Linked DNA regions of Xenopus tropicalis. The protein of the gene in region 2 purifies or fractionates together with the protein of the main gene of each other region. This does not show direct contact. Links are inferred from orthologs where the notes say so. Each region holds a gene or a part of one and is shown on either strand. Other genes may lie near its edges.

Region 1 (3,557 bases), on a different chromosome or scaffold from region 2:
ATCACTTTGCTCCAGTGGGTTTGGGCTTTATGACTCCTAAACCAACATAATTGAAGTAGAGTAAGGTCCTTTCAGAAGGCACAAGGGATCCACTATGTTTAAGAAAAAGGAGGTTCCATCCTAAAACTCCAAAAAGGGTTTGCTACAGTGAAAGATGTGAAGTTGTGGAATCCTCTCCTTAAGGATACATCTGATAGGGATGGGTGGCCTTTTAACAATGGGTAAAACACAGAGACACTGAAATGAACTTCGTACAAAGTTAATCCAGGGACTGGTCTGATTGCCCCTTGGAGTCCGTCAGAAATCTATTAAATAAGAGATGGCTTTGGATGTTTTTTCACCTTTCTCTAAATCATGCAGCTTTTACCGGGACACAGAGTTGAACTTGTTGTATGTATGTATGTATGTATGTATGTATGTATGTATGTATGTATGTAAGCAATGCCAAAGTCACTACTGATATATCACTGGAAATGTAAAGTTAAACGGTTCTGGCCCTATTTTAACTGCGTTCAACATTGGTGCTTTGGAACATAAAAAGAGCACTCTAGTAAACTCATACCTGCAGACCCTAAATGCCTATGAGTTAGCCAATTGTGATTAATCAGTCTAAGTACTAATCAAGCTAACCATAAACTGGAAGCCTCACAAGCCCAAGGAGGAGTACAGATTTCAAATCTAGTCTGTGAATTAAGAGGAGTAAAAATAAAAAGCCAACAACTGCACAAAGGGCACTGAAAAACATGGCCAGCCGTGCACAATAAGGGTTAATATTTCTACAGCTAAAAGGAAATATGTTAAATCATTGCTGCCAATCAAATGTAGGGAACCTGATACTCCTTTAATATCAGACAATATATAGAAACAGCATGTCAGCACTACAAATACACACATATATGAGGATAGTATACACAGGTAATATTACAGTACAATAGTTACCATCCCACCCACAACCCGGCCCCCCTCCCATCCCCCAACAACTGAAATACACTCGGGGCAAAGTACAGGGAACTGACTAAGGAAGGGAACCCCTTTTCTTGGGTTGTCAATTATAAACCAGGGCCCGATTTACTAAGCAGCACTAATTCCTTCATGTAAAAGAGTTGAATCACATACTGTAAAAACAGGCAGAGGACTCTGTTTATCTGGATGGACAATAATGTTTAGTAGTTACAGCCAATAAGGTACTGGAGGATAATGAGGATCTTCTGGCTTACATCACAGACAGGAAGGTGAGCCAATAAGTTCAGATGTATAAAAACCGGAGGCCTTGAGGAGCAGAAGATCCTGTAGGAAAGGGGTAGGAAGAGTGGGCTAGAAGGGTAGGGAATAAATACAGTTACACTCGCAGGATCTCCAGGCAGTTGTTGTAACAAATGGCAATCCAGTCAGGCTGGGTGCTTGCCCACTGCACATTGTTGATTTCTCCCTCTGCTGTGTATGCCAATATGGGATCCTCAATCGCTCTTGGCATCTGCTGAATATCCCAGATTAGGGCCTGGTGATCATCCGCTGCAAAGGGAACAAGGCCCATTAGTGTTAGTTAGGGTGCCACTGGGGTCTGTCACATGACTGGATATCACATAAGTAACAGGACACCAGTCACTTTAACTCTACAGCTAATTTATAACTATTACTGGCACATAAAATAACAATAATCAAACTCACATTGGGGACACCTGGGACAATATATTGGTGGCCAGGGCACTTTTAAATTCAGGGCTGGATTTATAATTTGTGCCACACTAAGCCACTAAGCCAGAGACTGGCAGTAATAACAATTAGTGGCCATATATTGTCTCTCCTTAAGCTTTGCCCTCTAGGGTCCTGGTTTTGCACAATTCCAGGCCTGTGTGTGCACTGCAAAGTGCTATAGGGCAACATTATATACCCCTACCAACACTTGGGTAATATATGCAGTAAAGCCTAAGCAAGATGCTCACCTGCAGTACAGATGTGGCAAGATGAATGGGGTGCCCATGCAATGCCATTGACACAAGCACGGTGGTTGTTAAGTCTGGCTACTGGGGTACAGGGTACTCGTACATCCAAGATTACCACCTAAAAAAAAAAAAAAAAAAGAATAAAAATATGATATGCATTTGTAAGAACAGAAAATGCCCTCTGGGCATACCCCACCCTGTACTGCTCCTTTACACCTTTATGTAATACAATGGCACACACCAGATTGACTGTACGTATCACCAGGCTGCTGGTCAAATATAACGATGCAGCAGCTCTCTGTGCCAATCTGTGTTTAACAGAATCATTAATATTACCTCCATTCCATCCATGGCCATGGTTGCCAGATAGTTCGGATCCTGCTTGTTCCAACACAGTCGAAGTAATGGATGATGTTGGGGGTCTTCATAGATGATTGTACTGTGCTCCAGGTGGCGCAAGTCAAACATTCGCACAGAGCCATCTGCCCCCACAGAGGCAAACATGTCTCTGCCCCCTCCTGCACGGCTGAATGCAATGTCATAGACCTGTCACACACAGGGGAGGGGAAAGAAAATACTTTTATATTCATATGGGTTAAAAAAACCTAACTCATTCATACTGCACTGGGTTCAGTTGGAAGGGTTGAACTTGACGGACTTTGGATTTTTTCAACCCTGTGTAACTATAACTGCACAACCTGCAGGACCCATCACCGTGTACACTGGAAAACAATGACAAGACATTTAGGACTTCCTCTGAACCTTTCCTAGTTTAATTTATTAATGCCCCATCTTTTGCTGCCTGAATAATGCTCTAATGTAATTTATTCCCATCTCCAATTGGTGCTGTAAAAATGACACCACTTGGGTGTGTCCAAGATGGCGACCAAACCAGATGCATAAAGTGAGAGCTCTGTGTATCGATTGATCTCTTTGGCAGTTCTCTTCACTCCACACTCCATTTACTACTCACTCACAGTTTGCCAGCAACCACTGGAATGCAGTACTAAAAGCCAACATGGGCAAACATTTTCCATGTATGAGATCAGAGGCTACGCCCTCACTCACCCAGCCAGGTTCCCGCTGGACAAAAGCTTCTGCCAGACATTAACGCCAGAACCACCAGGCCCCCCTCCCAACCAAGAGCCTAGCGAGCCCACAATGGGGGACTTATTGGAAGCTATAAAAGAAACTAGAGCAGCCACTACCTCACAAATAGAAGGGATTAAGATCAACTTGTCCCTCCTGCGCCCGGACCTCTAATACATGAGAGGCCGCACTGCTGCTGTGGAAACTCAGGTCTCCCGAGGATACAATTAACCCCATACACAACACCATGCCATCAGTAACAGCAAATCTAAGCACTAATGGACAAAACAAAGACCTGGAGAATAGACTTAGGATGAGCAAGATCAGAATAGTGGGGCTCCCGAAAGGGTGGAGGGACAGCAGCCAGAGGCATTTATTTGCAAATGGCTATAGGATGTAGTGGAAGCAGATACATTCTCCTCACTATTCGTGGTGAAAAGAGCCCATCAAGTTCCTCCCAGGCCACCCCCACCGGGAGCACCACCAAGACCACCATTCCGACTCAAACTGCTCAACTTTAGGGAA
Region 2 (4,774 bases):
CAAATTACACTGTTTACACGGCAAATTGTTCACTCTACCATTTAAAATGTTATTCTTGAACCAACAAATTTATTTTTAGCTGTAATATTGGTGTGTAGGCGCCATCTCAGTGCATTGTGCCCGAGTCTGAGCTTTCAGAAGGAGCCAGCGCTACTCATTAGAACTGCTTTCAGCTAACCTATTGTTTCTCCTACTCCCATGTAACTAGAGGAGTCCCAAGCCAGACTTGGATTTCTTTCTATTGAGTGCTATTCTGATACCTACTGGGAGCTGCTATCTTGCTCCCTTCCCATTGTTCTGCTGATCGGCTGCTGGGAGGGGGGGGATATCATTCCAACTTGCAGCGCAGCAGTAAAGTGTGATTGAAGTTTATCAGAGCACAAGTCACATGGCTGTGGCACCCTGGGAAATGAAGAATATGGCTGGCCCCATGTGAAATTTCAAAACTAAATATAAAAAAAAATCTGTTTGTGTTTTTGAAAAACAGATTTCAATGCAGGATTCTGCTGGAGAAGCTCTATTAACTGATGCGCTTTGAAAAAAATGTGTTTTCCCATGACAGTATCTCTAAGTTTCATTTTCAAATGTTGCCCTGTTTACAGCATGAAATAACAAAAACCATAGATATTTTGTAAAAAAAATAATTGGCCAAACATAGGATAAGCACAAGCTCTATTCATTGAACCAACGTTAAAAAGGGGGTAAATCTTTCTTTTAATAAAGCAGCAACTTATTCAGTAGCGCTACACAATAGAAGTATTGATAGATAAAACAAAGATTACATGCAAACGCTGCTAGATACAGGGGGTAAAGGGGGCCCTATTCAGAAATTTGGATTTCATATAATTTTCTGTCAAACTGCAGGCCTAAAGGGCCAAGAACTAACTATAACTATATGGACTAAACAATACCAGTAATCTGTATCTATCTGACCCTCTTCTTGCTAACTAAAAGCAAACCTAAATGTTAAAAGTCAAGCCAGAATATAAATTTTTGCCTAATAAAAGAAAACAAAATCCTAAGCAACTTTGCACTGCACAATGATGACAAATTTGTAATGGTTTTTGACTTATTTGTATATATAATTGCTATTAGAAGCAGTGTTTGTCTGTCCTTTGCTATTCCCTGCCCTGATGGTTTTGGCAGGAGGAGACTGACCTTTGCAACCAGGAGTTCAGCAAATGCTGCTTTCAATAGCGCTGAAAATATTAAATAAATTGATATTGAAATATTGCTTAGAATTATGTTGTATTAGACAAAACCTTTTTTTTGGGGTTGACATGTTGTTTAAGACCTGTAGAGCACTGAAGAGGTTCAATACTTTTATTCTGTAGGCTAACAAAGCAAAGCACCATTAACACACACAACAAAGCTCTTCCAAACTTACATCCTGCTGAATAATGATGATGTCTTCCCCATTTTGAACTTGCAGCTGGGGTATGACTGGCAGTGCATCCTGAGATGCCGACATTGCCAAAACAATAGCCAGAGCCTCTTCCTCCTCAGCTTCCATTTTCTCCTTGCATTTCTGATTGTGATTGACATCATCTTTGTATGTGTTGTCAGTCTCTGCACGCTCAGAAGAAAGCACAGCAACTTCCGACTTAAAGGTGACAGTACTATCACATGCAGGCATCGAAGCTTCCAGCAGATCCTCCATGCTGGAATTGAGCTCTGTATTTGCATCCAGTCTGCACTTCTCCTCTACAGGTGTGAAAACCGTATCATCGCTTGGAATGACAGCACTGACGTTACTGCCACAGTTATCGTAAGGAGAAACATTCAGGTCAAGAGTCAAGCTGCCCTTCTGAGCTTCTCCAGGCTTCCCGGGGTCCCCTGGGGTAGGTCGTGAAGGCTTTGGCCTGTGTATTTGAGGAGATGGCAGAGGTCTTGCTTGAGTAAAAACTGGAGAAAGTTTTTCTGGCTCTTTACTGCCTGAATAGTGCTTTTGTATTTGAAGGGAAAATTTCCTCTGAGTTTGAGGGGAAGCTGAAGAGAGTTTACATGGGGTGAAACCCTGAGACCTTGGCTTTGTAGCATCTGTGACAGGACCAGCTGGCACAGGAGGAGTAGAAGAAGGTGAAGGTAAAGTAGGGAAAAAGGAATGGGGATGACTGGAAGACGGGGAATTCAAGCATTGACTGTGTGGTCTACGTTTTGTTAGAATGGCAGGCTTTGGTTGCTCGGCTGTGGCGGAAGAGGAAGGGTACGCCAATGACATTACTTCCAGTGCCTCGCGTAAGTCTTCGGGACTTGAGGCAGACTTTGAGTCACACGCTTCTTTTGCCACTTTACCTGACAGCTGTACAGTATTATCCGGAGAATTGCTTTGTGAGGTTGATGGGGTATTGGCTGGGGCAGATGGCTGAACAAATGCCTCTCTGCGGTTTTCCATTGCTTGAGAATCTTCTACGTCCTGCTGGATTACTTCAACAATATCCATCTCTTCAGCTATGGCCATTAGCCGGCGCCGCATACGAATGTAATGTGTAGAGCTAGTTACACTTAACATATCCAGCAGCTTGACGAACACTTGGGGCACTCTTGCAACCATTCTTGCTGCGCTTAAAAATACTCTCCGGGATAGTTTTCCCACCATGGAATGAGAGTTATCAATAGACTGCAAGGCAAAATTCAGCAGGGACAACAGGCTTTTATATCTAGGGGGAAAAAATGAATACATATTAAAAAGTGCAAACTATTATTATTAAAAAAAAATACACTTTAAAAATAAAATTAATTAAAAAATCATTACTAATGTTTATTCTTGTGTGCTTTAACCTATAAAATCCATAATCATTGCTCTATATTACATCATGTCCCTGTAATATATGTTGCACTGCAGACCTTAACTGGTACATAAACATGTCCCTCATTTCTTATAGGGAGCACATGTAGATGGATGCCATGACAGCACATACTTGTGACTCTGTACAAAGTATCATCTTAATTTTATGTAGATTACAAATGGATATCTGCTTGTTTCAGTGCAAACACAGCAGCATGTCCACTTTGGTTGGCTATTAACCAGATTGGCCTACTTTATTTTAGGGATGCACTGACTCCAGGATTCGGTTCGGTATTTGGCCGAATCTTTCACAAAGGATTCTGGGTTCGGCAGTATCCTAAATTAGCGGATTTGATACATCCCTGCTTTATCTACAGAGGAGTAGTCTGGAAATCTGGCTTGTGTGCCTTAGGTTACAAGTCAAACTGTGAACCTTACAAGCACTATCTTCAAATCAACGAGAAGGACCAGATAACTGGGCTCACATGTACGTAGTGCTGCTGACAGCCTTAGTGAATTGCCATGGAACTTGCATTTATAACAGTGGAATGCACAGCTCAACCCAAGGGTGGCAGAAGAGATACACGTGTGCTTATTACCTGTCAACGACTGCATCTGCCTGTGTGAGGTCTCCACTGATGATGTGAGGATAAAATTCAGCAGGAAACTCCAATAAAAGTCTGTCGATCAGACAAAGGCGGCCAAGTAGTGACTGCCAGTTATTGGGCTCTGCTTGCGTTGCTAGAATACAATGCAAGACATAATCCACCCCACCAATGCCGATGGACCCTGCAAAAACAAAATGACAATTTAAATGCTGTCCAGTCGCCTGTGGTCGAGATAATATATGAATATTGGTGCTTAGTGATGTAATTTCTGTCACATGACTCACTAAAACTTGTGTATTATAATAATGTACCCCATTTTTTAAAAATATTAAGATATTAGAAGTCACCTCTTTTACTAGACACTACATGTTTTGAGCAGTTACCCTTTATCATTGTGGTACCTGGGACAGGGCACAGGAACAGACACCTAGGATTAAAAGCTATACCTTGAGTGAAACTCCAGTTGTTGAAACAAGTATTTTATTATGGTCATGGAACTCCTTGGAGATTTATAATATTTTATTTTAGAATAGAGGGTACATTATTCATTACATAAAAAAAATATATTTTTATCATCATTGGGGATGGATAGAGAAACAGTTACAATTTGCTTTGCTGGCTAATTTCTTATTTGAAATGCTGTATGTCAAGTCCCAAAAGCAATTATTATGTTTATAAAAACAGAAGCTTACCAGATTTGAGTATTTCTCTTCCAACTGCCAACTCTCCAGCTTGTCCTTTGCATAGTTCCAACAAGGTTGACACTGAAAGCTGACTTGTGCGGCTATAACAAAGGAAATGTCACTGTTTAATAAAGTACCAGTCCTTACATGATGGAACATGAATTTTACTAGCTCCTAACCAAAGAAAACTACCAAGTTGTAAGAAGCAGAGGTACAACAACAAACTGTATGACAACTTCCCCTTGGCCACCAGTTGTCATGTCACTGTAAAACACCTCTGCCTGCCCCACATTGCCTCAGTATACATTTTACAGCATATAAAACTGTACTCATCAGGCATACCTGTTGGCATCTGCGCATTTTACAAGAATAGTCTCCACCACTGGATTGAGAAGTCGCTGCAGCTTCTTTCTTTCTGTAATTGTATGGCAGGGAGTGTACACCAGCATGGCCCGTAATGTTTTCTAAGTTGAACAGAAACAGTTTAGACAAATTGCCTAATACGCCTAATTTTTTTACTAATATTTAAAGATGCCGACTTGTCCTCTCCAGACCAAGTCGGCAGCTTATTGGTCCTTTTTTTGGACCTTCCTGACCTATATGCTAAGATCTATATCTATTGAAAATTCTGTTGGATGAAGTTCACATGTAATACGGTCCCTCTCCCAACAGGTCTCTCTAGGCCCCTCTTAGGA

Evidence for each region. Proteins that work in one complex are often made in the same cells at the same time.
Region 1: the proteins of map3k1 (region 2) and dcaf7 purify together in Homo sapiens (affinity purification with mass spectrometry; 3 studies listed by BioGRID and IntAct, with this or other methods). This does not show direct contact. The link is inferred for Xenopus tropicalis from reciprocal best matches to the Homo sapiens genes MAP3K1 and DCAF7.

What each region holds. Positions count from the first base shown.
Region 1 is NC_030686.2:16,432,373-16,435,929, forward strand, and holds the end of dcaf7 (DDB1- and CUL4-associated factor 7), read right to left. Parts: intron 2,490-3,557; coding exon 2,280-2,489; intron 2,062-2,279; coding exon 1,944-2,061; intron 1,513-1,943; coding exon 1,340-1,512; 3' UTR 823-1,339; downstream 1-822. UniProt on the Homo sapiens protein: Involved in craniofacial development. Acts upstream of the EDN1 pathway and is required for formation of the upper jaw equivalent, the palatoquadrate. The activity required for EDN1 pathway function differs between the first and second arches.
Region 2 is NC_030677.2:190,919,399-190,924,172, forward strand, and holds part of map3k1 (mitogen-activated protein kinase kinase kinase 1), read right to left. Parts: intron 4,544-4,774; coding exon 4,422-4,543; intron 4,181-4,421; coding exon 4,089-4,180; intron 3,578-4,088; coding exon 3,388-3,577; intron 2,661-3,387; coding exon 1,388-2,660; intron 1-1,387. UniProt on the Homo sapiens protein: Component of a protein kinase signal transduction cascade. Activates the ERK and JNK kinase pathways by phosphorylation of MAP2K1 and MAP2K4. May phosphorylate the MAPK8/JNK1 kinase.